Astyanax mexicanus: one gene and its partners. The protein of the gene in region 1 purifies or fractionates together with the protein of each later gene. This does not show direct contact. Links are inferred from orthologs where the notes say so. Each region holds a gene or a part of one and is shown on either strand. Other genes may lie near its edges.

What was found.
Region 2: the proteins of zc3h18 (region 1) and nuclear cap-binding protein subunit 1 purify together in Homo sapiens (co-immunoprecipitation; 3 studies listed by BioGRID and IntAct, with this or other methods). This does not show direct contact. The link is inferred for Astyanax mexicanus from reciprocal best matches to the Homo sapiens genes ZC3H18 and NCBP1.
Region 3: the proteins of zc3h18 (region 1) and srpk2 purify together in Homo sapiens (affinity purification with mass spectrometry; 3 studies listed by BioGRID and IntAct, with this or other methods). This does not show direct contact. The link is inferred for Astyanax mexicanus from reciprocal best matches to the Homo sapiens genes ZC3H18 and SRPK2.
Region 4: the proteins of zc3h18 (region 1) and fnbp4 purify together in Homo sapiens (affinity purification with mass spectrometry; 3 studies listed by BioGRID and IntAct, counting the BioPlex papers as one, with this or other methods). This does not show direct contact. The link is inferred for Astyanax mexicanus from reciprocal best matches to the Homo sapiens genes ZC3H18 and FNBP4.

Annotation. Positions count from the first base shown.
Region 1 is NC_064416.1:22,225,502-22,233,515, reverse strand, and holds the start of zc3h18 (zinc finger CCCH domain-containing protein 18), read left to right. Parts: upstream 1-5,012; 5' UTR 5,013-5,142; intron 5,143-5,399; exon of another isoform or gene 5,400-5,530; intron 5,531-7,090; 5' UTR 7,091-7,101; coding exon 7,102-8,010; intron 8,011-8,014.
Region 2 is NC_064409.1:65,453,165-65,460,664, forward strand, and holds the start of nuclear cap-binding protein subunit 1, read right to left. Parts: upstream 3,008-7,500; 5' UTR 2,852-3,007; coding exon 2,818-2,851; intron 187-2,817; coding exon 98-186; intron 1-97. Other genes in the region: thiosulfate sulfurtransferase/rhodanese-like domain-containing protein 2, read left to right, coding at 4,476-4,607, 5,575-5,864, 6,682-6,790, 6,889-7,011. UniProt on the Homo sapiens protein: Component of the cap-binding complex (CBC), which binds cotranscriptionally to the 5'-cap of pre-mRNAs and is involved in various processes such as pre-mRNA splicing, translation regulation, nonsense-mediated mRNA decay, RNA-mediated gene silencing (RNAi) by microRNAs (miRNAs) and mRNA export.
Region 3 is NC_064409.1:52,788,246-52,795,508, forward strand, and holds the start of srpk2 (SRSF protein kinase 2), read right to left. Parts: upstream 3,024-7,263; 5' UTR 2,902-3,023; coding exon 2,886-2,901; intron 2,616-2,885; coding exon 2,549-2,615; intron 1-2,548. Other genes in the region: pus7 (pseudouridylate synthase 7 homolog), read left to right, coding at 6,890-7,200. UniProt on the Homo sapiens protein: Serine/arginine-rich protein-specific kinase which specifically phosphorylates its substrates at serine residues located in regions rich in arginine/serine dipeptides, known as RS domains and is involved in the phosphorylation of SR splicing factors and the regulation of splicing.
Region 4 is NC_064409.1:54,396,723-54,403,819, reverse strand, and holds the start of fnbp4 (formin-binding protein 4), read right to left. Parts: upstream 3,015-7,097; 5' UTR 2,957-3,014; coding exon 2,839-2,956; intron 2,623-2,838; exon of another isoform or gene 2,494-2,622; intron 469-2,493; coding exon 394-468; intron 248-393; coding exon 120-247; intron 1-119. Other genes in the region: lrrc10 (leucine-rich repeat-containing protein 10), read right to left, coding at 5,390-6,202.

The DNA of each region.
Region 1 (8,014 bases):
ACATCTCTCTCTGTCTCTCTCTCTCTCACAGACACACACACACACTCAGTGCTTCCCTCCACACCTGCTGGGGTCACAGAATTTTTTTTTCAGAAGAAAACTCTTCACACATTATCAACCTGTACCGACGATAAGCTGCCAGAGCAAATTATTCAAATGAGACATTTTAGTGGTACGCTGCATTAGGCAGCAAAAAAACCCTGCAAGTCTTAAAAACACACAACTGCCACAGGCAATCTGCTCACTACAGCAGTAGAAATTAAATACAACTGTTTTCAAGGATTTACACTTGGGGATGGGGCAGTGAATGTTCTATAATGCCTGGCCCATACTGCAGTTTTTTTTATCCTGACAGATGTCAAAAACGTGAGTGATCGCACACGTGAAATCATTTTTTACAGATTTTTCAGTCTTTAATTTTTGTTAGCTAGTGTTTGACCAGCCAACACCTCAGTTTTTTTTTTAATCTCACGGGAGTTTCTCATAAACTGTTATAATGTGAGAGTAAACATGGTGGATGACAGAAAAACATCACTTTGTTGAATAAATGTTTTCAACTCAGAAATAGTAATGTATACTGTTTGCTGTAAAAAAAATCTCTTTATCAAGCATAAAGTTAACACATTTTAAATCCACCCTATTCAAAAAAAAATATATGAGCATGTGTTATATTTAGGCGGCCCAGTAGAGTTAGGCTCTGTTTGGTTTAAATCCTGGGTCATGCTGCTTGGCATCAGCAGCCAGAGTCCGAGTCACCACAATTGGCTATGCTCTCTTCCCATATCACACCCAAACTGATGTATCAGAGAAGGTATGAGCGAGTCTTCACCTTCCTAGGTTTGGAGGCATTACTAGTGAAAGGGGGCGTACTAATAAGGAAATGTGGTAATTGACCTTCCAAATAGAGGTGAAAATGGAATAAAATTTGAAATAATTCGAAAAAAATAAATGATCAATAAACGATCAGGACAAACCTTACTGCTCTGGGACAAGATTAGAGGACTAAAGATTGGATTATATACTTCACATTCTACAGAATAATCTGGAAACTGTATCGAAATCGGGAGATTTTTGAGACTGTCGGGAAGAACAAATCAGCCTCAAAATTGATCTGACCATCCTGTAGTGTTGGCCAGGCATAAGATAACATTTGGGAAGTCCACAGTAATATTATACCAAAAAAAAAAAAAAAAAAGAACATGCTTAGTCCAGAAAATTAAGCTTTCAGATCAATTTAGGCTTCTTAACATGCTCTTCTATCTTGTCATCTGTTGCTGGTGTCACAACACAATAAAATATTGTTACATTGACTAGCTCTATTTAATACAGTACCTAACACGAATCACGATCACAAATCTGAAATTTAAAAGATATACTCTTATAAACTATAAAAAAGTGAAATTTCTCTATTTAATACTTCAGGTTATCTTTAAATAAAGAGTCCACAGTTAAACCTGGGTTTGTTATGAAATTCTCTGACTTTATCTCTACTGGAATGTCTTGAGCATCTTGAGCTAAACACGCTCATTAAGTCAGCAGCTGTCCTCTAAAGAGCATTTTCTTGCCGCGCTGTGATGTCGAGCCTGATTCACAGACTGGCGTTGATGGTGAGGGCCAGGCACGCTGATGAGAGCCTGTGATAAGAATTAAGCTGTCAGTCTTTTGGTCAGTCTCTCCTCAGTGAGTGGGATCCAAGCAGAATCATAAAGTCATCGAGCCATTCAAAGACTCTCTTTCACTCTCTCATTTTCTCTATCTATTTCCCTGTCTGTCTGTCTGTCCATCTGTTTATCTATATATCATATATGTATGCAGTTATATTTGTTACATTTACTGGGTCACCTGCTTAATCATTGTTTTAATAAACTGTTGATCCTGCTTTTGTTGGAGTAACTATCTCTGTTTTCCAGTGGAAGACTGTGAGTGTTCGATTACATTCACCACCCCACCTTTTCCCTAAATCCCAACTCATCCCAAAAATATTGGTTGGTGCACCATCATTCCATAGAACACCATTTCACTGTGTGAAAGCTCAATAGTGGGAGGCTTTATTCCCCTCCAGCCCCCAACAGGTATTACACATGGTGGCAAATGGCTCATGTTTATCTGCTCCATAGTAAAGGTGGGATACAATATTGTGATATATCATATAATATATTGTAAGTCGCTTTGGACAAAAGCGTCTGCCAAATATAATGTAATGTAATGTAACTATATATTTTTATTAAAGCACAGGTGCTCTAAACTCCCAAAGATTCGCCCCAATTTAACTTATTAAAGTTACTGCTTCATTACTCCATTAATTTATTATTATTATAAGTATTTTAAAGAAATTTCTTGTGATATATCCACAGAAATTTGATATCATTGTTATTGTGGGCCACATATCCTGGTAATATTGTATTATGAGAAGCCCTGTGATTCCCACACCTACTCCACTGTAACCAAATAATCAATGTTGAATTCATCTGTCATGTTATGGCTGATTAGTGTCTCTCCCACGATCTGTTTTTGTCTGTATGTCTGTCTCTGTCTGTCTCTCTAGTCATTTGTCTGTCCTTCGATCTATCTGTATTTCTCTGTGTCTGTGTGCATCTTTCTCTCTATGTGTCTGTCTGTCTCTTTCTCTATTTTGCTCTCTTTTGTGCTTCTTTCTCTCTCTTTGTCTATCTCTCCCAATTTATTTGTCTGTAAGTCTGTCATTATCCTAATGTCTGTCCTTTTATCACTCTCCCTTTCACTCAATTTGTCTGTGTGTCTTTTCCCCTCTCTCTGTTTGTGTCTCTCTCACTGTTTATCTGTCTGTCTCTCCGTGTCTGTTTCTCTCTCACTTTTACATGGTCCAAGTCTATTTCTTTCTCTTTTCTCCTTTTTCTCTACCTCTTTATGTCTATCTGTCTTTTTTGGCTTGTTCTGTGTGTGTCTCTCTCTCTCTCTCTCTTACTATGTCTCTCTTCCTCTTTATCTCTTTCTGTCTCATTTCTGTCTGTCTGTCACTCTTTCACTATGTCTCTTTCTCTGCATATGTATTTCTGTTAATCTCTCTTTACTTATGTGATTCTATGTTAATAAAATCTTTTTTATTGTCTGGCTGTATAAATTGTATAAATGTACTTGAAAAACAATGTTTCTTCTAAATGCTGGAGACAAACACACTTTCAATTGGTGAACAGGAAATGAGTATTATATCTGTTAACAACAACAACAACAGCAACAATTATTAATTGATTCATTGTGGTGAAGTAGATTATTTCAGTGGTTAGTATAAACAGTGCGTTATTACATGCTATTCTAAACCAGGAGGAAGCAAATACTGGAGAAAGTACAAAAACGAATACATATGAACACATTTAACATAATTCATTGGTTTTTTTTTTTTTTTTTTAAGAAGAACAGTCACAGTTTAACAGCACTGTATATTTCTCTTCACCCTCACACATGCGGTCAGTGCTAAACCAGAGATAACCCGAGCGAGTTAATAATATAAAACATTTCACAGACAGTAACTAACTTCCCAGCAGCTCCAGTGAAGGCGCGTCTCTTACCATTTTCTTCTCTTGGGTTTGGGATTCATTCAGTCCGTGCAGAGAGCGCTGGGTGGTGTGGTGTCGGCTGTGGAGCGCAGGTGAGAGAGTGAAGAGAGAGAGAGATGTGTGGTTCAGGTGAGGAGGAATGCGGCTCCAGCGGGCAGCGGCGGAGTGGGGAGCTCGCGCGCTCCTGGAGCCGCACTGTTCCGTGGGGACGAGCCGGGAGCGTTTTCTCTGCAACAGCGCTCTCTAGTGTGCGCGCGCCACCAGCGCTGCTGCACTTCACCACTGAACACACCACAAGAAGTAAGGAAACTTGTGTTTGGTATATTATTTTAAAAATAAATCTTATACCCTGGGAAAGCCTGCTAATTTCTCTTTTAAAAGGAGCCAATTTTGTAGGGAGCATGAATTTCAGAGCTGAGTATGTGGATTGCATAAATCTTCTCCAACATTGCCAAATAGCTTGTTCTGCCTGTAATATTAATTCTTGTTTTGAGCTTCTGGTACCCCCAGGTGCTGCCTGTGAGATGTCAGTGGTCAGTCAGTAAGTGTCTGCTTCATGAATCTGCATCATCCCACATTTGAATAATTTGGATCTGAATAGGGTCCATACGACAGGGCAACTTCTGTTCCGTAAAATCAAGGTGCGGCTTTATTTGGAATTGAGCCCTCGTACCACTGAAGGCCAAGATTCCTATAACGGGGGTGTCAGAGACAGGCAATGGCAGAGAGGATTTGGCTATTTTTTTCATGGGTGCAACCCATTTACTCAGCTTTGCTGCTTATCCCCCAAATGCCATTTAGAGGCTTCTGAATAGACTTACAACCCCTGACGTAGAGTTTGGCTTATTATGTAACCATCCCTGCATATATGTAGGCAACAATATATGTATATTCATTTTGCTTTGCATGCTAATCGTATATTTCAACATTGAAGGTGCTACACTAGCATTTTTTATATTCATTAGCATTCTTAGTTAAACTCAGTAACTCATAAAGTAGCACATTACAATATACTAACTCTAGCCTGAAATATTATAATATAGTAAAATACATATCTATGTGTATTTCAAACTACATCATTATTACTGTCACCTTCCCAAAATTACAGCTAAGTCCCAGCATTAAAAAAATAATAAAATGTATCTATGACTTAGTCACTCAAATATATATATATATATATATATATATATATATATATATATATATATATATATATATATATATATATATATATATTCTTTTTTTTTCATTGCACTGAATATCAAAAGCTTAATCTAGTGGAAGACACGTCCTACTCTATTCTGTTGTGATTAATTTTATTATATATTTTTTGTTTTATAATACCGACTTTAATTAATTTAATAAGACTCTTTTCGGATGTTTTCTGTGTGAATGGCTAGCCTAGCCTCGCCTTGTGTCGGGTGTTGATGACGATACTGTAATGGCCGCTCTCACGGTGTGTTGCGGGGTCTATGCGTTACTCCGGTAAAGAGAGAATCACTGATCGGCGCTTTCTTTCTTTATTCCCCGGTTAGATTTCCTCACGGAGGGGGAGAGGCCGGGTAGCCCCACATCGAGCCCCAGTCTCCGCGGCGCTGTGTTGTGAAAGGTGACCGACTGTGTTTTAAGCGCGTGTTTGCTGAGAGTTCTCGTTATTGTTGTTGGCCGCGGCGAGTCGGTGCGAGTCAGGGACGCCGCCGGGCAGCAGTGAGACGAAACGGGACGAGCCCTGCGGCCAGTCGCGGTTATTCTGCAGGGCGGGTGTAGTTTCGGGGGTTGGTGTCGGTCCGGGTCCATGAGCTCGGCTGTAGCGGGGTTTGGGCCGCTCTCTGTCGGGCCTGCTGCTCCTGCTGCTGCGCGGCCACCGGCGGAGCGACGCCTCCTCCTCATTGGCAAATAGGCGAAGCTAAGCTACGCTAGCCAGCTGTAGTCGGCGAGCTAGAAAATTGTCCTTTCGCTCGACCATCTCATGAGTCTCTTGCCGTTATTCCGAGCAGGTAACCTCATTCCAAATTACTTACTAAACTACAATTACATTAACTCTGTATGTTACGAAGTGTGCACGGTGTGAAGCAAGGCCGTTACGGGTGCGGAGACCTCGCTAGCTAACCTAGCTTAGCTAGCCAGTATGCTAAGCTAACAGGCTGTTAAACGGTAACGTTAACATAGCTAACTACTTAACCTAGCTAACGTTAGCTAGTAGGCTATCGTCATTAGCATTAGCATCGCCTTGGGTTGTGTTTATCCCTCCTCGGTGTTAGATTAGCTAACAGCTAACTAACTAGCTAAACAATTAACCGAACTAGTTAACCCAACTATTAGGGCTACACATTTAGCTATATTTTTTTGACAACAAGCACAGTAAACGATATTAAATTAATATAAAACAATGTAAGGGTAGTTAACCTAGCTACATATGACTAATAGTAACGTATATACAGTACAGAAATAATAACATTAATAGTGGATGTAGTTAGAGGTTACGTAACCCTAGTTGCAAGATTATGTGCTAATGCATAGCTAGCTTACATAGTTACATAAATACGTACTCACATATTAACCGTTTTATTAGTATTTTGTTTTTTAGATGACTGTTTAATAGGTTATAGTGTTCATCTTTATTTCTCTATTTTTTATTTATTTATATAAAACCTGAACGTTACAAGTGTAAAATTCAGTATATATGCATGTGTATATTCCCAAACATTTACTTGTTAGGTAGTTTACACTAATAGTCTAAATAAGTCTGCAAGGGTATTTTATTTTTGTATTTTTCGTATTCAGAACAATGTAGGACTAATATAGCTACCTAAGCTAACTGCTTTTCTGTATGTTTAAAACTGTGAAGCATAAAGTATCAATGGTAAAAACGCAATTCTGAGACAAAGTTCCCTGGGGTTAATACATTTTTAACTAAGCATTTTCTTAACAGTCACTTCACTTAATTTAATTAATTGTTTCTTATTAAAGGGAAAGGATAGATTGTTTCACTAAAGGAGTGGTCAAGAAAACAGATTCTATATTTTTATTTTTTAAGGAGGAAACAAAAAAAACTAATAAAACAAAGAGAATAGTTGTTAAACTGAAGGATTTATTAAATGAATAGAGCAAATTGTGGAACTAAGGGGAATGCTTTACTAAATTGACAGAACAATTTATTTTATTGCCAAAAAAAAAATAAGGGAAACATTTGTGTTCTTAAATATTTAGTTTTAACCTTGATCATTTTTTCTGGTCCTGTGGAAACCTTTTCAATCAGAATGTGCTCAGTATTGGAATTTAGGCCTGTTAAGGCCTGTTTTTGAAGACTAAGCCACACTTAGATTTGGTCAGAGTTACCAACCGCTGTCAAGGTTGGTGTTGTACCAGTCCTTGGCTAACAGTTCTGAAAGGCTTCTGAAAACCAAAACTGTGTTAAAGGATATTTACAACCCCTTACGTAGAATTTAGCTTAATATGTATCCAGAAAACCATCCTGGCATGTACTTAAGCAGCAATATATGTTCATATTTTGCTTTGCATGCTAATCATGTAAATATGAATGTTTTTGATTACAGATTGAGTGCTGATGGACACCCCTGAGAGCCCCACACAGTCTCCACAGTCTCCAGAGGAGGAGGAGAAAGGTCTGTCAGACAGTGAGCTGCTGGAATCTCCAGAGTCCCCTACTGAGGGGAACAATGAAGTGTCTGACAGTGAGTTACTAAACGATGAGGAAGGAGGAGGAGGAGGGGGAGAGTCAGACATTGATGATGAAGACAAGGTTGATTTGGGTGGGAGAGCTCCAGGAGAAATATCTGACCAAGACGATGACAAGGTAGACGGGATCGCGGGGAAAGATGTACACCAGCAGGAGAAGTCAGGAACCATTCTGAAAGGTGGGCAACACATGAGCAGATCTCCAGAGCGGGAAGAAGAAGAGGAGATCTTGGAAACCCCTAGGTCACCAGACCCTGAATCACCAGAGCCCGTACATCAACAACCCTTCACCCTTGCTGAAGAAGAGCGTGGGGAAGCCAGCCAAGAAGAAGAAGAGGAGGGAGAGAAGACCACTGGCTTAGGCATGAGTCGTCCAGAGTTGGAGGAGGAGGATGAAGAGGAAAGGACACAAAGGAGGGTAATGGCAGTCAGTGATCTAAAAGATGAAAACTCTTCTGTCTCCAGAGAGCTGGATGAGCATGAGCTGGACTATGATGAAGAAGTGCCTGAGGAACCAAATATTGGTGTTCCAGAGGAGGATGACATGGAGAAGGGTCCTGGTGCTGAGGACGGTGAAGCGAATGAGGAGGAAAAAGACAACAAAGAGGAGGGGAAGAGGAAAAGAAGTGAAAGGAACCCTATCCTCCCCCCAGACCAGGGCAACTCTGATCTTAAGAAATCTGAAGAGACAAAAGGCCAAGAAAGAGGCAGGAGGGATTCCTTTCGTGATAAAAAGAAAGATGAAGATGATGGCGAGATTGATGAAGGAGAAATTGATGTAA
Region 2 (7,500 bases), on another chromosome or scaffold:
ATTCTAGTAACGATAAGACAAAAAGCTAACAATTATAATTTATTGACAATTTCATCCTCAGCTTTAAGGAGAGCATTAAAATGTTCTGTGGTCTTACCTTTTCTCCAACTCTGCATATCAGTGATTCTAGTCGGTCCTCGATTTCAATTGGCTCAGATGTCCTCCTCCTTTTGTGAGGCTGACCTCCTGTATTGCAAGAGAGAAACACACTGATTTTAACATGGTAATTCACACACACTCTTGTTCCACATCAAACAAATTCAAGAAACTGATACTACAGGTAGCAAATAAGAACCACGTCAGTGGTCATCACTAGGTACACACAGGTACTCTACAGTAGTTTGGCTTGTACTATTTTTACAGTGTCCTAGATAGGAGCATCTGCTAACAAAATACACTCTAACTTAACATATTAAACAGCAGCTGTCCTCAAGATTTGTTTGATATAAACTGAAAGTAGTTGTGCTCCTGAATGGGAAGACATTGTGATGTTGTAAATATTGTAATGTCATTATTGTGCTTCTGATACCATTCCTACAAAGCCACATATTTATTCTTAAAACAGGGTGGTCTGGTAGGTCCCAGAAGCTTTTTGTGGTTGTTAAACTTTTGTTAATGATGATGATACAAGAACTACTGAGAACATGGAGGCACCATAACTGCAAATTCAGACTACATCTGCTCATGAATGCATGTACTAATCATTAAACCAAAGGAAAGAATTAGAACCCAAGAGAGCTGGCAAGAAGTGAACAGGACAGAATCCTCACTAAAACCACCATATGCATTCACTGTGAAGAGAGACCACAATGCACATTTTGAAGTACCTTTTAGCTTACTCACTGCAATTGAATGTACTGTCACTGAGTATTATAACAATATTTAGAAACAGGCCCCCTTTCCTCAATTTAACAAATAGTTTGCTCAATAAGACCTCTCATGATTACCACTTTTCAGAAATTGTAGCAAAATTGTAATTTTATGATCATCTAATGCCACCGGTAAAATGATAACAATAGTGCAATCATTCAAGAGAAAAATTACATTTTAAGTATTAAGACCATACATAAAAACAGTGTTTTAACAAAAAGTCATTAATTATATTACATTATAGCTATACGGGGACATGTGTATAAAATATTTTTATTTATGTAGCTTTTAGAACAGATCTGCACACTATTGGAATTTTCTCAGGAAGTTTCTTACAATAGTTGTTGCTTTTCCTTCACACTGGGAAACTCCAGCTCATCCCAAATCACCATCTTAGTTGGGTTTAGATTAAGGAATTGTGGAGGACAAACACTTTATTTGTTTTGTTTAATTCAGAGTTCTATATATGTGTTCTTTAATTGTTCCCATGTCTTTAATATTTATATGTACTGTAGAAAATTAATTAACCCCTTTACAGGCCTTGGAACGTATAAAGGCTACAAAATGTAGATGACAAAAGCCCTTTTCTCTGCAGTAAAATAGGATTATTCACATTCAGACAACGTTGAGGGCTTTGAAGACTCCTACAGGTTACTAGGAGAAGCTGCCTGTTCACACTCTCCTCAACGCAATCATTTTAGATCAGCAACAGGATCAAATCCAAATTTTGCAGGTTTGAACACAGAAAAAAAAAAACAATTGTAACGAAACGAAAGGTGTAGAGAACATTCAGGAAATACTGTATTCAGGAAATACTGGTTTTAAAATGAAGTTTAGGAAAGTTGCAATTTCAAGATTGTTATTCATTATATTGTTAAAATTGCAGGTTTACTTACATTTAAAAATATATATATTATAAGTATAATTAGAATTTGTAGAAACGTTAATAATCAAACGGGAAACCTTTTCATATAATGCTTGTATAGAAATTCTTAAGATTTAGGAGTGTAATATCAGGCAAAAATAACAAAATGACAAAAATGTTGGCCTGTCAAGGTGTTAACAGTTAAAGAAATAAAGAAAAACACTGAAAAAGAAGGCGTGTATAAACCTTTGACTGGTACTGTAGCTATAAGTTAGTATTAAATAGTTTTTATTGCGAAAGATATTTTATTTAAAATAATCGAGCATTCGTTTAATAGAATGTATTAATGTGTTCACTGTGCGAATAATAAACACTGAGTCTAGTCTCATTAAAAAAAGGAGGGAGGACGATATAGCACCGTTACACAAAGACATACGAGCTTTAGGTAAACACTTAAAAAGCTAAATGGAGCACGATGTGGAGTATACATACTGGTAACAGCTAAATAATTATCTTTTTTGTTGGAAAATTAGCTCTGAGCCTCCTGAGGAGAAATGGCAGTGAAACAGCATGCCTGTGTTAGCATTAGCTAGCTAACGTTAACCTAGCTTAGCTAAGCTTGCTAGTTAGCTATTCCGTTAGCTTCAACTCGAACACCATGTTTTAAGTACAAATGATTAAAAGTTTAGTAATTAAACCAAGAAAACGCAAAATATATCCAAAAAATAGCCAAATAATACCTGCAGAAATCGCTATACTCTGTTAAACTACCCTGCGCCATTGTTTAAAGAAGGGTATTAGTTAGCTAGCTAACCTAGCCCTAGCTAGAGTATCTACCTAAACCGCTAAAATAGCTAGCTAACAGCAACTCATGAAGCTAGGTAGCTAAGCTAACTCTCCATTCCACCTTAAACAGCGCAACGATCGCAACGAAACACCTAAAGCCAGCCCCCGACTCCTGAACCTCAACTGGGGCTCTATTTAAGGTGGACCGGAAAATTTGAAAGGTAGCTAGTTAGCTAACTAAATAAGACAAACTCCAGCCTAGCCGAGCAAACGGCGTCACACAACTCCGCACTCACCGTCGTTCTCGTCGCTGTGCCTTCTCCTAGACATCTTTCAGCGCTCGGTTATCGGTCTACAGATGTTTGAAGTCCTCCTGTGTTATTTTTACAGGTTTATTCTCCTATTTTTTGGAGCCCCGAAGCTAAAAATTTGCAGAAGCTACAGCAGCGAGCCGCCACCACCGTGGAAAACTAAAAGAGGGCGGGACTGTTTAGATACTGTTCCGGAGCGGCAGGAGCTCAACCAGAGAGTCTACACAGAGGAGAATACCCACTTAAGAACGTGTTACTCGTATAGTGCCCATCAAAATTAATGGAACACTGAGGCAAATCATTTTATTTCTGCTGTAGACTGAAACCATTTGAGTTTGACATTAACAGATTATGAAGCAAAAGACCAACATCTCAGCTTTTATAACAGGTATTTACATTTGGACCTGATACACAATTTAAAAGATAGAACCTTTTATCTTAACCCACCCAATTTTTTGTAAGCTAAAATATTGAAACTTGACTGTAAGGTGTATTCCTGTATAAGAAAGTCATCACTGGTGTACTAAGTAACAGATGGCAAACCAGCAGACCAAGGAAAACCACAGCATTTGATGCTCTGGTATCTTCTACCGGACGACATCAAAGCAAAGATGTACAAAAGAAAATCCTTGTAAGGGATAGGTGGGGGCAGAAGATACTGGAGCATCCGAGCCTCAACAACCAGATTCTGGAACAGCTTCATCCACTAGGCAGTCAGACTTCTCAACACACAGAGACGAAGCTGGATGAAAGGGTCAATTAAAATTGAGATAAAGATTTTGTGTTGATGTGTGTGTGACAGACATGTGTACTGGAGATTTATGGAAACACAGAACAAATTGAGTCCTGTATTGTTCTGCCTTTCACACTGAGAATTTTCCACAGGTTTCTGCAATAGCTACAGAAAATTTAGTTTATTTATTTATTATTGCAACACTTAAGTACACAAAATGTTGAAAACTTTAGTACTTCCACAAAAAATGTTGAAAACTTTAGTACTTCCACTTAGTACAAGCTTAAAGAACACTTCAACTTCTATTTAAGTCACTTTTTGGACAGAGCACTCAAGTCTGGACCTCGTAAACATGTTCTGCCTACAGTATCCACTGATATACAGATAGATTTTTTCTTATTTATATTTTCCTATTTTTTTAGTGAAAGACTTTCTCTACTTTTAAAATAAAGGAATATCCTAGACGAGTAGTTTGTTACTAATTAAATTTGAGTTTTTAGCCATTTAGCTCCATTCACCCTTATTCATTGAGGACTCCCTCGCTGGCTCCCTCTAGCGGCATGCAGGGGTTTACTGATATTTCGGGGGTGATATGAAGTGATCAGTCTCTCCGTAAAGCAGCTCTGGCTCTGCCGACACGCCAGTAGCAGCAGCAGCAGAACTGCATGGCGGAGAGAGGAGTTTTATAATAACCCTTGTTTATCTGTTTTAGCTCTTAAACTAGTAACTGATTTATTTCTGATCATTTAATCAGGATTTACTGTGGTCTGAACAGCCTGGGATTTATATTATAACCCCCTGTATGGCTCCTGTGGTTGATTTAGGGAGCTGTAGTGTGTTTAGAGTGTGATGATCAGTAGTCTGCAGTATTACCTCGTGTAGAGATATATCAGCTGATACTCAGATTAATATGGACAGTGAAGATCTGGCAGAGTCTGTTCTTATTCATTTGGATGTGGAGACTCTTATTGCCGGGACTCTAAAGCATGAGAAGTGCGAGATTTCAACAACTCGAAAGTGCTACTCCTACATAAAGAAGAGGGTAAGTTTATTAGCTTAGGTTACATTGTAATAGTTAGCTAAATGTGACACTTTTTAAACTCCTAATTTATAGTTTTTATATATTTATTTAGTCTACACTTTTCTACACAGTTCACAGGTTGCATAACACTAAAACAGTGCACAATTTTAAAACATATACATAGATTTGACATTTATTAAACATATCTGCACTGTCTACATGTAAAGGCTTCTCTGCTGCAACTGATGTAAATAATTTTTAGTTTATTATTTTTTAATGTATATATCCTAATACATATGTTGTTTATATTTTGGTTCACTGATGGTAAATAACGTTAAATAAACGTTAGTCCTTATGTTTTGCCTCATAGGCATCAGTTTGTTTGTAATGTTTTTAAGTAAAAGGTCCTCCCCCTTAAACAAAATCATTATTATTATTATTATTATTATTATTATTATTATGTAATTTTTTACACTGCAAGAACATGGTGCAAGCTATATAATTATACACAGTATATATAATTTTCTTTACAATATAGTTGTTTACAAACAAACATAGCATTGGTTCAGTGTTGACCTGAAAAAAAAAAAAACTTCAGTACAATAAATGTTGAAAACGTTTGAAATATATGTTGAAATATATATTTTTAATTCAGTGTTTTTTCATATTGCCAAGGGTATCGTTATCACAAAAATACCATGAAATATTGTGATATTATTTTAGGGCCATATCGCCCACCCCCATTGCATATTTTTTATGCAGAAATTATTTAGAATTAATATTTGTATGGAAGAAGCATAATAAATGCAAAGAGAGTAAAGAGGTTCAGTTGCCATCTCAAATATTGACATTTTCAAACTTAATACATGAACAATGTAATATTTGTTTAACTATAATAAGAATTAACTTACGTTTGTAAAGTTTACATTAAGAAACTGCTCTATGTTTATTGTTGTTTGCACTCACAATAGTCTTCTGTGACTTTCAGACTTTTGCAACATTTGTGGCGTCTAAGAGGGTCTCATCGTCTCCTACTGATACCTCACCGGTTTGGCAGTGCTGTGACGAGACCTTTTCAGACCCGTCCTCAGTCCACAAGCATGTTTCCAACCTCCACGCTGAAGAGATCGAGCAGCTCACCACTGCGGCCCTGGATCAGATGCTGAGCCAGAGCGAGGAGGCTTTTCAAAAGCAAGAAGACCCAAATGAGAGCCAATCAGACGATCCAGCCTCCTGGATACCCAGCACAAGCCATCTTTCTGAGGAGGAGCTCAGCAAGTAAGAGATTCCTTTAGTATATGATTATTTTACTGTTAGGCAAAAAAAAAGAGTTTTTCTTGAGTTATTCTTTATATTAGCATTTCATGATGAATGTACACATAAAAATGCTCAGAAATAAACTGGAAAAGAATTCTTTTTTTACTGACCATTAAAATTTTTTGGTTTTTTTTCTTACAAATTTTTCCAACATTGGCAATGTATGGGGTATATAATCAAGAGGGAGATGGATGATCACAAGCCATCAAACCAAACTGAACTGCTTGAATGTTTGTAGTTATCCAAAAGCAGTGTGTAAAACTGGTGAAGGAGAATATGCCAAGATGCATAAAAACTGTGATTAAAAAACAGGGTTAATCCACCAAATATTGATTTTTATGAATATGAACTTGTTTTATTTGCATTATTTGAGATCTGTAAATACATGCTCTAAATGACAATATTTTTATTTGGAATTTGGGAGAAATGATGTCTAAATAATAATGTTCATTTTACTCAAACATATACCTATACATTGAAACTGATTCAGAAGCAGAATTTTTCCAGAGCTGTATATGTAACAAAAGTATTGCCAATTCTAATAATATTAGAGTAGAAAGATATGAATCGATTAGTCAAAATATTACTGTTTATTTGTGTCTGGATCTGGATTCGTGCAAGATCTGTGAATTAATCCAAAACACTGGTACCTGAGAGATCTCAATGGATCTACTGTTAACATTGTAATCCTAGATAAGCAGGGCACCCTCTCTGATGACACTTGTTTAAAACCCATATTTTAACTAGTGCTGATATTAGTTTTGTTGCCCTCTTCCAGAGGTCCAGGTGAAGTCCTCCTGTATTACAGCTACTGCCAAATACGAGATCCCAAGCTGATTTGTTCTTGGCAGTCTGAGCTGTGTTCAAGACTTCATCTCACTGGCAAGGTAAACGCAGTGCTCTCCTCCTGATGAGAATCTTCACATGTGCATGAATTGTCACAGTGTGCTGTTACACTACTCTGGAACTTGTGCTCCTCCTGCAGGTGCGTGTGGCCACTGAGGGCATTAATGGAACAGTTGGTGGAACCAAAACGGCCACAAAGCTTTACATCAAGGCGATGCTGTCACACCCCATTTTCAAAATAATGCAAGTGGAAGATTTTAAGGTAGTCCTGCAAATGAGATTGTCTGTTAGGGCTGGTCAAATCAGATTTGCCTGTTTAAAAATAATGTTTGACTCTTTGTTTGTTTTATATAATTATCTAGCAATACAAAAAAAAAGATTCTATAAAAAAAGAGACACCACTTATAATTTAATGCAGGCAAATTTAATTACTTGCAGCCATCATGCCATCCCCTATTATTTACTGTTAATTTATTCACTGTTAACTGGAATATCACTAGTAACTTCTTACAACACACATACCGGAGAACCATGTTTCCTCCAATCATATAGTGTCTATAGATTTATATTCTCTAGATTTTTGTTTTTAAAAAGATTCCAGTATTTTTTATATATTAATACAAATGCATATTTCCTAATACTTTTGTCCTGTCCTCTGTGTTGCTGTAATATTGAAAATTTGCCTGCTGTTGTACTAATAAGGGAATATTTTATCTCATATTAAATAAACATATGTATTTGGGTTTGCTCT
Region 3 (7,263 bases), on another chromosome or scaffold:
ACTGCAGCAACCCTAGATCATAGCACCGCCCCCCCAGACTTTTTGGACCACATGACCTTCTCCAATTGCTCCAGAATCCATAATAAAAGCTGTTTTTCCAGCTAGCTTCACTGATGAGGTTTTTTTAAGGCTACACAGCTGTCAGGTCCAAATCCCTTGAGGACCCTTTTCCAGACTGATAGATCTCAATTGCATTCTTTCTCATTTGTTCCTGAATTTCTTTTGATATTGGCATGATGTGTTCACTTTTGCCAGGCAGGTCCTATTTAAGTAATTTCTTGATTGAGAACAGGTGTGGCAGTAATCAGGCATGGGTGTGGCTAGAGAAATTGAACCACAGTTCAGTTTTAACTGGGAGGGGCACACTTTATCACACAGGGCCATGTAGTTTTGATGTTTTTCCTCCTGTAGTAAAAAACTTTATTCAAAAACTTGAAAATTACAAGCTGAATTACCTACTGTAATTTTATTCCCGTCTGGATGCTCTGAGAGTTTCGTCACCGTTTAATAAAATAGCTTTTTGTCCTCTGCCATGCACCATAATTACACTTTGGGCGTTTACACGAAGATCCACGTAAACACAACAGCGAGTGGAAATGGAGGGGCTACTGAACGCAATGCCACTCACTGGTCCTCCTGCTTTTCAATTGCAGTCCAGATGCAAGAGTTTTATCACTGAGTAGAAGTCCCCCTGAGAAACTAATCCCACCTGGATAGGGCTTTTGACTAATGTTTACATTTGTTTGATGATCTGAAACATTTAAGAGTCACAAACATAAGAGCTTTCAATGTCTATATCGACAAATGTAAATAAGTTTGTGAAAAATGTTGGATATTGGCACCACATTATAATTTCACTATTGATGCATCCCTCACAATATAAAATAAGATTATTCCATACACTATATTTAACCTAAAAACGTGTATTAGTACACCCCTACTATAGGGACATTAAGTCTGTTCCACATATGAAATATATAAAAACAAAACATGCAGTATGCATTGAGAATATTATTATCTTGTTGCTACTGTATTAACAGTGCTCGTGCGAGGCATCATGGATAGCATCCCATCGCGCCATGCAAGGCTCGCAGTGTGAGACACATGGAGGTGTCTTGCATTAGAAAAGCACGCTGGCTTTTCCAGCATATTCTTCGGCTCGCGGCTACAGCCCGGGAATCACCAAACGGCTGGCGGTGACGTCGCGCCAATCGCGTGGCGCCATGAAGCCGCTGTCACTCAACCCAGCCAACCGCTCAGCATTAGTCCCACCGCTGCACCGCGCTCCGCTCAGCGACCACCGCTTAAAACACCGGCTAATATCTCCTCTAAACGCCCACGTTTCTTACACGGAGTTCTCACACACACTAAACACACCAACATCTCCCCTCTACCCTGAACCCAGCGCTAGCAGCACGCCCACGCCCCCAAAAGCATCAGCTCCACATCTGTCACATCATCCAGCCACATCTCCCTCAATCCAGCCCACAACACACACACACCATCTTCATAGCTAGCTCATAATCCACCCCCTTTCACTCACACACACACACACATACAAGATTAAAGTCTGACTGTTCACAATTGAATGCTAGATATACATAATAGAGTTTTTACTCTAGTATCTGGTATCAATTACATTTTGTATATTTGAAATGGCAATTCAAGATATCTGCATTTACAGCCTTACTAGTAAAAGAAGGACAATTTTGATGACTAAAATGTTGTTTTATTTCAGATGATCAGAAATAATGAATAGCAGATATGTTGAATTGGAGCTTCTATACAACTGAAGGGCAATGGAATCCAAAGTGTCTCAAATAGGTTTTTATTCTAAGCTAATATAAACAGCGTTATATTAATTTGATAAAATGTTTAGGCATGCAATAATAGTAGATATCTGTAATAACGTAGCTCTGGTTAAACAAATTAATGTTAAAATATGTAACACATATATTACACTGTGTATGTGCGCGCGCGCGTACATGTGTGTGCTCTTACATAACTAAATTGCCATAAATGTGACTAGTAAGCTAGTCCATGCAAACTCGAGCACAGCGAGGAAGCGCGAGGCGACGCTTTAGCTCGGGCCGTTGCCATTAGCAACTCGCGACTCGCTGGGCAGATTGCACAGTGAAACAGCGCTGTATTCAATCAACATTTATCGTTAGCTAATGTTAGCAACGATTTGAACCCCGCTCATTCAGCCTGTTTCAGCCCTCAAAAGCTGCATATCTGTGACTATGTGTGTGTGTGTGTGTGTGTATGTGTTATATGGTTGGTGAGAACTAGCTATATAGCGTTACGGTCAGTCATCAGTACCGTCCACACGCCGCCCCTCGCCGGGGCTGCTGTCAACACTAGCTAGCTAACCTCCCCCCGTAACGGTCGCGTGTTGTGCTCACGCGCTGAGAGCCCGCATCAGTAACAGCAGCGAGCTAACGTTACCTCAATGCTACCAGCCCATAGAAGCAACCTATACACTCTATATACACACAGATACAAACTCCGAGAGCTGCCCCTACGACCCACGCCCCTGCTTACTTACCTCCGGTGGTGAGCCGCCTTGTCTTTCTTCCCCTTCGGCCTCCTCTTCCGAGCCTGGATAGCCATCACTGGAGGAGAGCAAGCAGGAGACGGAGGGCAGGCAGCACCGGGGGGAGGGACGCCAGAAAGAGAACAGAGGGAAAACAGAGGGGCTCGATGAGACAGAGAGCTAGGTTAGCTGACCGTGGAAAGAAAGCATCGTACATTAACACACAACAACAATATCCAAAAAAAGGTCACGCAACGCGACAGCAGGGCTGGACGCGAGGTTTTCAGAAGCCCCGCCGAAACGAGCAGATGTCTGCGTGAATTTAAATAGTCTATAGTGTTTAGTGTACCCTTTCTGGAGCTCATGGTGTTTATCCTCCTCGCCTCAGCGCCAGCAGCGGCAGCCCGGTTCTCTCTCCAGCGCGGCTGGAGGATGGAGGCGCGCTCCCGCTGTCTAGGAGAGTGGGAGGAGCCGCGCGTGCACGCGCATCCTCATCCATCCTTCACTGAGAAGCTACACAGGATGGATTCACTCCCGCACGAGCCTGTAAAGCACATTTAAAACACAAGGAACATCTAAATATACACGTACTGACAAAAAAATAATATATATATTCTCCGAGAAGAACTGTTAGAATTATATTAAACTTCCTATTTGTGAATGTATGATATGGGATGATATATGTAGGTGATCAAAACATATTTTAGGTAATTCTGCACATGTAGCCACAGGATGTACTGAATATATGGTTAAGCTATTAGTATCACTACTAGGGGTGAACAACTGTGTGCAATAGCTTGCCAACAAAACAACCACCCTACTTCTCTCAGTCAAGTGAGGTGTTCCCTCTCCAAGTCTGTCAACTGGGCAAAGTATCTTTGAATGCATTGTATAGGCATGCAGTCAACAATCTCTCACGAAGAGGTGCACTTCCCCAAAAAAGCCACTCACACAGCCTTTCAATGTGGTAGTGAGAAAAGCAATTTTACACCCTTCTGGCAAGACCCAGTGTGGAATCAGAGCACACCTATTAATTTATATATATGCCTAAAACAGGACTGCAGGCCGAGTTTTGTGGTAATAATAATAATCTGCAGTGCACTATGGGTGACCAACTGTCCTGTGCGAAGGCTCTCCAGATTACCACACCAGCAGTTGGGGCAGTGTGTCGTTCCAGCATACACAAACCGGACCACTATCAAATCCCAAACAGAACCTGGATTATTCACTGAAGATGAATACGGTTCCAGCTTGTAAGAATTTCAGGTTTGTAGTTCATGACACAACTGCAAACAAAAGGTGAGGCAATCGTTAACACCTTCTCTCAGTCCAGTAAGGTGTTTTCTCTCAATGTCTGTCAACTGCGCAAAGTTTCATTGAGTGCATCATATAGGCATGGTTAGCAGTCACAAAGAGGAACACTTCCTAAAAAAAGCAATTTTACACCCTCTTCTGGCAGGACCCAGTGTAATCAGAGCACACCTATTAATTTACATATCTGCCTAAGACACAACTGCAGGCCGAGTTTTGTGGTAATAATATTTGTTGTCATGTGTGAGAATACATATAGTCTATGCAGACATCGGAGGGGCTAAAAAAAATCCGGATAGCAGTTAACATTCACACACAGTCCCTTTTTATCCACCCATCTGTTCATATATTCGACCTTCGGTCCTTACATCTGCCTAATCCACCCCACAGAGTTTAATCAACATGGGACTGTGCACATTTTTTTACTAAATCATTCTAACTGTATAATATGCATAACTGCGCAATGCATACATAATAATTTGATGATAATACACAAAACGCTTTATAAACAATGCTTGCTACAAATGATGGACTTCTATACACATATGTAAAAAAGGTTATTTCGATAATTCACACGCAAACAACACAGGCCTGTGTCCCTGGTCCTGCTTTAAGAAGGGGATTTGAATAATGAACAACATGCATTGGCTCAGAGCCACAGCACCATCTGCTGGACAATATTTTAGCCAGATTTTAACATTAACATCCAAGAGCGTTGGACGTTTTAACCCATTCATGTACACACGGAATTGTGTAGGCTCCTCCAATGTATTGTTTTCTCTTTGCTTGTGGCGTTTGGGTGAGATTACCTCTTTTACATCTATACTTTTCATAATGTTGAAGAATAAAACGTTTATTTTTGGGCCCCTTTTTATTTTCATTAAAATCTAAATCAAACATTTTATGCAAAAACATTACAAATTATGTTTTTATTACAGATATAATTATACAGATAGATCACTAAAAATTATGTAACGTTTCTAGGTGCTAAAGTGATGCTGGGAAAATGTAATTTACACAAAACCGGAATAACCTCTAAGGGTTATTTGAAACAGTTTAGCACCCATTTAAAATTGCTGCATGATTGCCTGCTTAACTTCCTTTATACCCAAAAAGCTAACAATACGCAGAAGATTGTGAGTGTTATAGAATTATATTTTTATGTGTTTATACAGTACCAGTCTAAAGTCTGTACATACCTTCTCATTCATTGTTTTTCTTTATTTATATATTTATTTTCTACATTAAAGACATTAAACAATTAAGGGTCATATGGGGTCATATAAGGGTCATTTGGTTTACAAATTAATCTCACGTGTTCCTGTATAGCTTGAATATAGTCTTCAATATTACATTTACAATGTAAAAAAAACATAAAAAGAAAGAAAAGACATGAAAATGAAAAGAGGTGTGTCCCAACTTTTAACTGGCACTGTACGTTATATTGTATAAAAGAGTATATTTTGTAAACCGATACTCTTTTTGTTTGATAAAATGTGTGATTTTTGTGATTACCGAATAAATAAAAAGGGAAAAACAAGCGCGCAGGCGGAGCTTAACCCAGTAAACACTTCCGGAGGAGAGCGGGCACGTGGACACGTGGTTTGATGTTTAGAGCAGCACGGCGGCTATCAGGACTGGGCTGGAGAAGGTGGGCGCTATACTATTATCAGATTCACTCACATACACCTCAGTTATCTAGCTGGGTTAGCTATATTAAATTATTATCCGGTAAACGTATATTAATAGCATAGCATTCACAGCGGCACAGTGCGGATACAGTCAGTTAACCCTAACATAACTCACAGCGGAAAATCAGAAACGGACTAGCCGCTCAGTTTAAGAATGTGCCGGACTCCCTCCAGCACTGCTTGATAGTTATTTTTTATTAAATAGTGGCTAGCAATTACCATTTACCTGTATTCTTCTGATTAGCATAACAGTTGTTTTTTTCCACAGTGGAAGTAACAGAGTGTGGAGATTGTTCTGCTAACATACTCCGGTAACCTCACCACATTAATGATTGACGGCATTAAATTCCCACCCCTTTAACCCCTTAACAGGCCAAGCTTTTTTGTCAATTGTCTGCCTAAAATTAAGCCACTAAATCTTAAGGGTTTCTATTCAAGCATTACATAAAAAGCTTGTGTTTGATAAGGAACATTACTAAATATTATAATTGTAATTGTAATAGAAAATATATAAAAATAATAATAAGTAAATCTGCTAATGTCAAAATAATTGGCTCTTTCCTGAACTTCATTTTAAAATCAATATTTGTTTGTGTAGTTTTTACATTTATTTTCAATCATGCAAAATTTGTGTTGATTCCTGTTACTGATATGGAATTATTAAGTGGAGTAGAGAGAAAATAGACAGCTTCTCCAAGTGTACTGTTGGAGATTTTAGAAGAAAAAAGGGTTTTGTATCATCTACACCTGTAGCCTGTATACGAGACAAGAAATTTTAATGGGTAAAAAAGGGAAGGAAAATACTACACTGCTTTAAAAAACCAACATGGTCTGTTTAAGCTGATTAAGAATGTTAACCCTCCATGGCATAACCAATTTCTGGGTATTGTACAATACCATACTGTACCTTATTTACTTACTGGTAATTTGTTGGACATCCATTTGTGAAATAGGTGCTTAATATTTGTTAACCCCCCAAAAATGTATAGGGACTGTCAAGCCTTAAAGTAATTCGGTTAAAACTTAGCCTTAGGGTCTGGCAGGATGAATCAGCCAGCTAGTGCTCACTGTGCTACACAGCTTTATTATATATGTACATGTATGTCTCTTTTCTATTCTACAGAACTGCTCTCTTTTCATCCTGCAAGAAAGTGTTTCTGTTATCTCTCAGCAAGGCTTAAATCATCTGAACACAACAAAGAGATTTCTCTCCTAGTTTTTCTCGTTTACCTCCACTCAGTAAGTAACTCAGTGTAGTTAGATCTCACACTGTGGAATCAACAGCCTGCAGTATAACTCTGCCTTTCCTTATTTCTCTTCCTTTTTTTACTATGATATCAGCTTTGTGCCAATGGAGGACAAGGAGCCCTTGGCAGAGCCAGTTCATGTTGGAGAGAAGCGGACATGCCCAGAAGAGGATTCAGAGCACATTGCTAAAAGAGTCAAAGTTCAGGATGAAGCAAATGGCAGCCATGCCACTAAGCGGACAGAAGATGATAAAGAGGAGCTGGAAGGGGAGGAAGAAGAGGAGGCTCTGGAAGAATGTGATGGAGAAGGAGAGAGCTTTGCTGACATGATGAAGTATGGTCTCAGTGAAGTGGATGTGGGCATTTGCAAGTTTGTCAGTGAGCATAATGGCTTCTCTGGAATCCTGAAAGAGAGGTTAGTGGGTCAGTCTGCCTGGAAAGGTACACATAATGTCAAAGTTCCACACATTTGCCATAT
Region 4 (7,097 bases), on another chromosome or scaffold:
ACACCTGTTCCACTATAATTACAGTAAGATAAGAAAAGGCGAAAGCCTCTCGACACAAAAGAATACTACTGAAATACTGTATCAAAAAACAAAGCAGACAATAATATGAGTATACTCACAGCCATGAAACTAGCTAGGGTACTGTCAATATCTGCAGGCCGATTGTGCTTGCCCTTTGTTGTGGAAATGGTTTCAGAAGCATCTTCCTCATCACTGTCCTCGTAGGCACCCAGCAAGGACAAGCCCTCTGCAAAACAAACCTAATGAACTTCACTTCATACTAACACAATGTCTACTGTGATAAAGGAAACATGCACCATATTATTTTAATTATGAATATTTAAATCCCAGTAAGTTTTCACAGTATTAGACTTTAATAGATGCTTCACTTACGGGTTGCCTTTACAGCAGGAGGCTTCATTTCTATGTTTACTTCTCTATGGCTGTCAGCGTTACCCTCTGGCTCCTCTGCATTAAAGAAAACAAATTATCATCATCAATGATGAATATTTATAACAGGATTTATATTTTTTTGCAAAAATAATGGACTTTTGGCACATCTAATACTGGCATTCATCAAAAATACCGAAACTTATTTGTAAATCCATTAACTCTTTAGGTGTATGATAAAGTGTTTCTCAATAAAACTTATAATATAATAAACCACCATTCTTAAACAAGAAACAATTTTGCATGATAAACACACTGTCTTAACAGCATTAATTGTATGAGGTAAGGATTACAACAAGGATACATTTCTTAAGGTGCACCACTTATATACCACTACTGGATAAAGGCGCTGCACAACCAGCCACAGTTAGACCCCAATGTTAGAAGCAAATGTACCAATTTATTCCGCAACTTTTAAACAAAGTTTTAACACAAGACAGAAAGTTCTCCTGAAATAAGCATAGGCATGTCTGAAAATATAAGGGGGGAAAAATAAAACATGCATTTTTAAAAATAGATTTTTCCTTCAATTTCAGAATCCAGTCTATTGATCGAATTAATCATTCCATCAGTTTAGAGAAGACACTTTAGTTAAGATAACAATTTATAACATTGAGGAAACTAATTATTACAAATTAATAACCTTGTTTTTTTTTTTTCTTGGTCATTCACACTTAATCTTTCAGGGATCTCAAAGAAACCTTATTTTATATTTTCCCCTTAATGTTTGCTTACGTAAACTGACATAAAATAACATTGTGTCAAATCCTGTAGATTGCCTAGATATTTACTGCCTCTCTCTAGCAAACTATTTTTACATATATCTGAATAATAAATATTTTTATAATTTCAATATATATATATATATATATATATATATATATATATATATATATATATATATATATATATATATATATACAGGCAGACAGACATGTGTATATATATACATATACACAGCTCTGAAAAGAAAATAAGAAAACATTGTTGTTTTATTCTATAAACTACGGACAAGATTTCATCCAAAATTTCAAATAAAAATAGAGCATTTATTTGCAGAAAATGAGAAATGGCTGAAATAACAAAAAAGATGCAGAGCTTTCAGACCTAAAGTAATGCAAAGAAAACATTTATATTATATTAGATTATATTATATTGTATTATAACGTCTTTAGAGTTCAGAAATCCATATTTGGTGGAATAACCCTGGTTTTAATCACAGTTTTTATGCATCTTGGCATGTTCTTATCCACCAGGCTTACACACTGCTTTTGGGTAAATTTAGGCCACTCCTGGTGCAAAATTTCAAGCAGATCAGCTTGGCTTGATGGCCTGTGATCATCAATCTTCCTCTTGATTATATTCCAGAGTGTTTTTTCAATTTGGTAAAAACAAAGAAACCCGTCATTTTAAGTGGTCTTTTATTTTGTCCAAAGCTGTAACTTATATACATAATGAGACATTTTATGTTATTCATACGACTGTATCCTGTAGTTTTTCAATATCCTTTAGACTGTAATGGTTACGCTAGGCTAGATTTAAATAAATGCATTTTGGGAAATAAATTTAGCCAGCTTTGTGATTTGCTGAAAACCGGATACATTTAAAACCGTCTTTTGTTAGAAACCAGAATCGCTTTCATGCTAACATTAGCCAGCTAATGCTAACTACCTAGCTACCACACAGTTATTCACACAGGTTTTAAGAAGTCGTTTACTGGAAATATTAGGAGTATTTCATGTTTAAGCAGATAAATTTGTTTGTGTCTTATTGTAGCAACTGTAAATTAGTTAACTAACCCTACTTGTTGGTAAGCTGCTTTGACAATCATACGAGAACTAACCTACCATAATGTTAGTAACTGGTATTTAGCCTAGCCTAGCTGTTAGCTAGCTAAAGCTGTCTGTTTAGGGTAAATAAACGTAGGTTACCTATCCTTTTCACTGTAAATGTAGAATATTTTAGTGGTATTAGCTATATAACCTAGCTAATCAAGGTCCTGTCTCGATTATCCAGTTATTTTAGATACCCAAAGCTACTTACTTGCCAAATTATTCTCCGTTCAAAGCCAACGCTGTTAGCTGCGTCTCTCTGTGTAGTCTGGGCAGGGGTGGTTAACCCAGGTCCAGAAGGTAAAAATCCATCCCAGGCTTTGTACCAGTTGCCTCGTACAAACTGCTAAACTGCAGCAAAGTTGCTTAGGCAGTTGGCACTAAACCCTGGGATGGATTTCTACTTTCCGGACCTGGGTTACCCACCTCCGAGTCTGGGTGAGGCCGCATCGCACACAACTCTTTAAATCCAGCTTACTCAGAAACATAGCCAACACGAGGCTGCGTTTACTGGGCCTGTGGAAACGATTCGTATAAATAAATAATGTTTTCTCACCTTCCGACCCAGAACCTAACCCTTCGTCTCTCCCTGCGCCGAGTCCACTGCGAGGTCCGGGCGGAGAAAGCTGTAGAATGGTCCGGCGGCCCGTCCCCGTCCGGGTTTTCTTTCCCATAACTGACAGTGATAATGGAGCCCAGCTAGCGACAAAATGATCGTCAGGCAGGCTGTGTGAAGCCAGCGGCGCTCCACTGACACACGCTTTATATTAAAAGACCCAACCCCAACGTACAGTTTATTTTCTGAAGCCCTTTAATTTTAATAAAGAAGATATAACACACCAATCTATTTTGTTTACTTTAATTGCACCCACCTAACTAACTTGCACGATTACATTTCTCCTAAATGCTCTAGTTAGCCTGCATGCTAACCGCCACAAGACTGGTGAGACACTTCTTAGCTAATTCCTCTTTTCCAAATCGCTTAGTTTTTAGTCTACATAGACAAAATATGGGTACATGTGATTTATTTTATTACTTATTCATCTGTAATTCATTTAATAATACATATTTTTTGCGTGTCGGTGTCGGTGAAAATGTTTTCTTTACTACAAAATAAAAGACCCCTTCTTTCAAAAAAATTGTAACATGTCGTGTGTGTGTGTTCCAGTTGTGATCAGTGCTTCTTTTTTTAAATACATGACACGATGAAACATGTCATCTACAGTGCTTTAAAAATGTTTATACATGTTTACATATATGATGTACTATATATATATATATATATATATATATATATATATATATATATATATATATATATATATATATATACTGTACTTAATATACTATACTGTGATTTGCTTAATTTAAACGAATGTGTTTGTTAAAGTTAAAGTTTGTTTTATATAAAAACATAAATCTGTGAATGGGCAGAAGCCTGTGAGTGGGCGGAAACCTGGGGCTGGGCAGAAGCCTGTGCCAGGGAAAAAAGCCTGTAAATGGGCAAATAAGTGTCCAAAAGCCTGTGAATGGGCAGAATCCTGTACTTAGGAAGAAACCGGTACCTTAGGGAGAAACCTGTGCTTCAGCAGAAGCCTGTGAATGGACAGAAGCCTGGGAATGGGCAGAAGCCTGTGCCAGAGCAAAAACTTGTGAAAGGGCAGAAACCCTAGGGCTTCTAGGGAGAAACCTGTACTTCAGCAGAAGCCTGTAAATGAGCAGAAGCCTAGGTATGGGAAGAAGCCTGTGAAAGGGCAGAAGCCTGGGGCTGGGCAGAAGCCTGTGTCTGAGCAAAAACGTGAAAAGACAGAAATCTGTGGCTGTGCCAGAAGCCTTTGAATTGACAGAAGCCTGGGGCTCAACAGAAGGCTGTGAATGGACACAAGCCTGGGACAGGGCAGAAGCCTGTGGCTGGGCAGAAATTGATGAAAGGGCAGAAACCTGGGAAGAAGCATATGCCCAAGCTAAAGCCTATGAATGGGCAGAAACCTGTGAATGGGCAGCAGCCCAGGGCTGGAAAGAAGACTGTGAATGAGCAGAAGAGTATGAATGGGCAGAAGTCTATGCCTGGGCAGAAGCCTGTGTATGGACAAAAGCTTCTGCATGCCACAGCTATTTACCTGCATCCTTGCACTGTTAATGTGATTATTTATATTTGACAACCTGTTGCATTGTTACTCCTTTTGCACAGTAATGTTCTTTGATATTTATTCTACTGCAGATGTTATTTTTTATTCTGTATATTACTGTGTACTGTTACACTGTTACAGTTCAAACCTCCAGAAGGACCAACAAGACCACACACGGCAACCAGCATAACCAGCGTGACCAAAATCAAAAGCAACATTCACAGCATAGGGTATGTTTATGTCAGAATAATCATCTTTTTAACCATAAAGAATACCCGCTTAAACCATCTAACACCCAGCTACCAGCAAACGCTGGCCCTGAGCTAGAATTTTCAAAAGAAATGTACTCTTCAACATATTATTAATATGGTATGGATTCTGACATTTTAAATGGATAAAAAATCTACACGTACAATTCATCATTCACATTATTAAAATAAATTACATACCACAGAGAGACCAATATGAGTGTATGTGTGACCTGTGCAGAGAACCACAGTCTGCAAAACACTTTGCTCTACCACAGACCAGGAGCAGCAAGAATGATGATGAAAGTCTATTAACGGTCTTACATCAAAATGAAGACCCAAATCTGTCACATGAAACATGCATTATTAAGAAGATGAGGTACATTGTAGAAATGTAACAATCCATTATTGTAATAAATTATCTGGATCAAGAGAATTACAGAGATTTCAGATGAAGGTCTTGGTGATTATTTGTTCCTAAGAATAGAAAGGTAAAGACAGTGTAAGGAAGAGAAACTCAACAACATATTTAGTATTTTTACTTTATTTAATACAGTTAAATCTGCAGTTGTCTCTTGGTGTCATTGTGCTTTTTTATGCTTCCAGACAAAATTTAACAACATTTTAAAATACCAACACTTAAGTGTTACTGTTCAGTGTCTTGCTACATGTAAATTATACTGTGGGATAGTATAAATAAGTATATATTCCACAATTTGTAGTGTTCATATCACTCTGTCTCTGGAAGCTGACATCTCACCTCTAGGGACGCCTCAGTGACTTTTCCTTCAGCTTCATCATCTTCCTCTTCAGAGCAGTCAGCCCAGCGTCCAACCCGTCTCACACCCTCCCCTACTAAGGGTGCATTAACGCAAGGGTTGTGGTCATAAATGACCAGCTTCAGTCCTCTTAGTTGAGTGAGTGCTGGAAATTGCCGAATGCGGTTTCTATCTACATCAATCACTTCCAAATAATGCATTTCTAGAAGCACTGGCGGAAATTCATTCAGCAAGTTTCCTGCCAGCCAAATACTCCGCAGCTCATCCAACCTGACCAACTCACCAGGCAAACTACGAAACTGATTGTATCCCAGATGTAGGGTTTTCAGGTTGGGAAGTTTACACACAACACTTGGAAATGTTATAAAGCAGTTGGTCTCCAACCACAGTGTCTTTAGTTCGGAAAGCTTGGCCAGCTCTTTTGGCAGTTTGTACAGTCTGTTATTCCCGAGGTAGAGGATATTGAGCTGCCGAAGGCTGCAAACAACTGATGGCAGCTCCTCAAAGCAGTTGAAGTCCAGCGCTAGAAGTTGTAGTTTTTGTAGGTTGTGGAGCTCAGGTGGCAGACTGCTCAGGTGGTTATCACTAAGGTAAAGTTTAACAAGTTCTCTAAAGGCACAAGCTCTAATGGGGAAGCGCCGCAGCTGACGACTGCTCAGATCCACAGTACAGTCATGGGGCATCTCCTTCAAGTCCCCCACCAAATACTGCTGACACCGGTCTGATGGAATGAAGGCCACAGCTCCACGAACAACATTTCCCATTATTCCAGTCCAATTTCATGCCCCCTTCATGAGGAGAACAGATATAGAAGTAGGAGAGCTCATTAATAGAAATCTGAAATAGATAATCTTTTGTCATCCATTAGTAATAACTTAATTCAGTTGAGCCAATAACCATAATTAACACAAAAGCTTGGATCTGTGTGTTTCACACAAGCATTGCTCTAAGTCTAAATAAAACACTTGTTCTATTATCGATTTATTGACTGCAAATGGCCTTCGGAACTATCAAGGCACAATGTAAATAAAATTAACTTTTATTAGCATTGCTAATGTCTATTACAAATATTATAAACATCATTACTTACTAAGCAGCTGAAGAGAATCTTTCCTTCATTTAATTCCATTCTATCCCATCCCATTTATTGTTTTTTTTTTTACTCCACACTGGGCTCAGACCTCTGCCTTGCTCAAAGCTTTGCCTGGCTGACTCCTGGAAGTGCCAAAGATGATATCCAGCTTGCCCTCCCTCATTTATGTTGCATGACTTCCCAGGCTCTGGAAGGCGGAGCTGGCCAGTGCCAGTGATAAGAAGTGTCCTGTGATTAAGGAATGTGGAGACAATCTAAGCCCCTCCCATATGTGTGTGCTATCTAGCCCCTAACCCGCAAAATACAAGGATAACTTAAGTGGAGCAACTCAACAATCCTATATCAAAATGCCAGAACAGCCCACAGTGTTTCTTGCATGCCACAACAGCTCAGAGTGTTCAGACTCAGTCAGCCACAACAGTTAATTGTGGTCAGGTTATATATATAAGAGGACAAAAGTGGAATGACAGCAATTTAGAACCAGTATATAAGTTAAATAAATAAATAATGATGTGACATCACACAGGCAATGTCCAAAGGCTACGGTAATCATGCTTTAGAGTCTT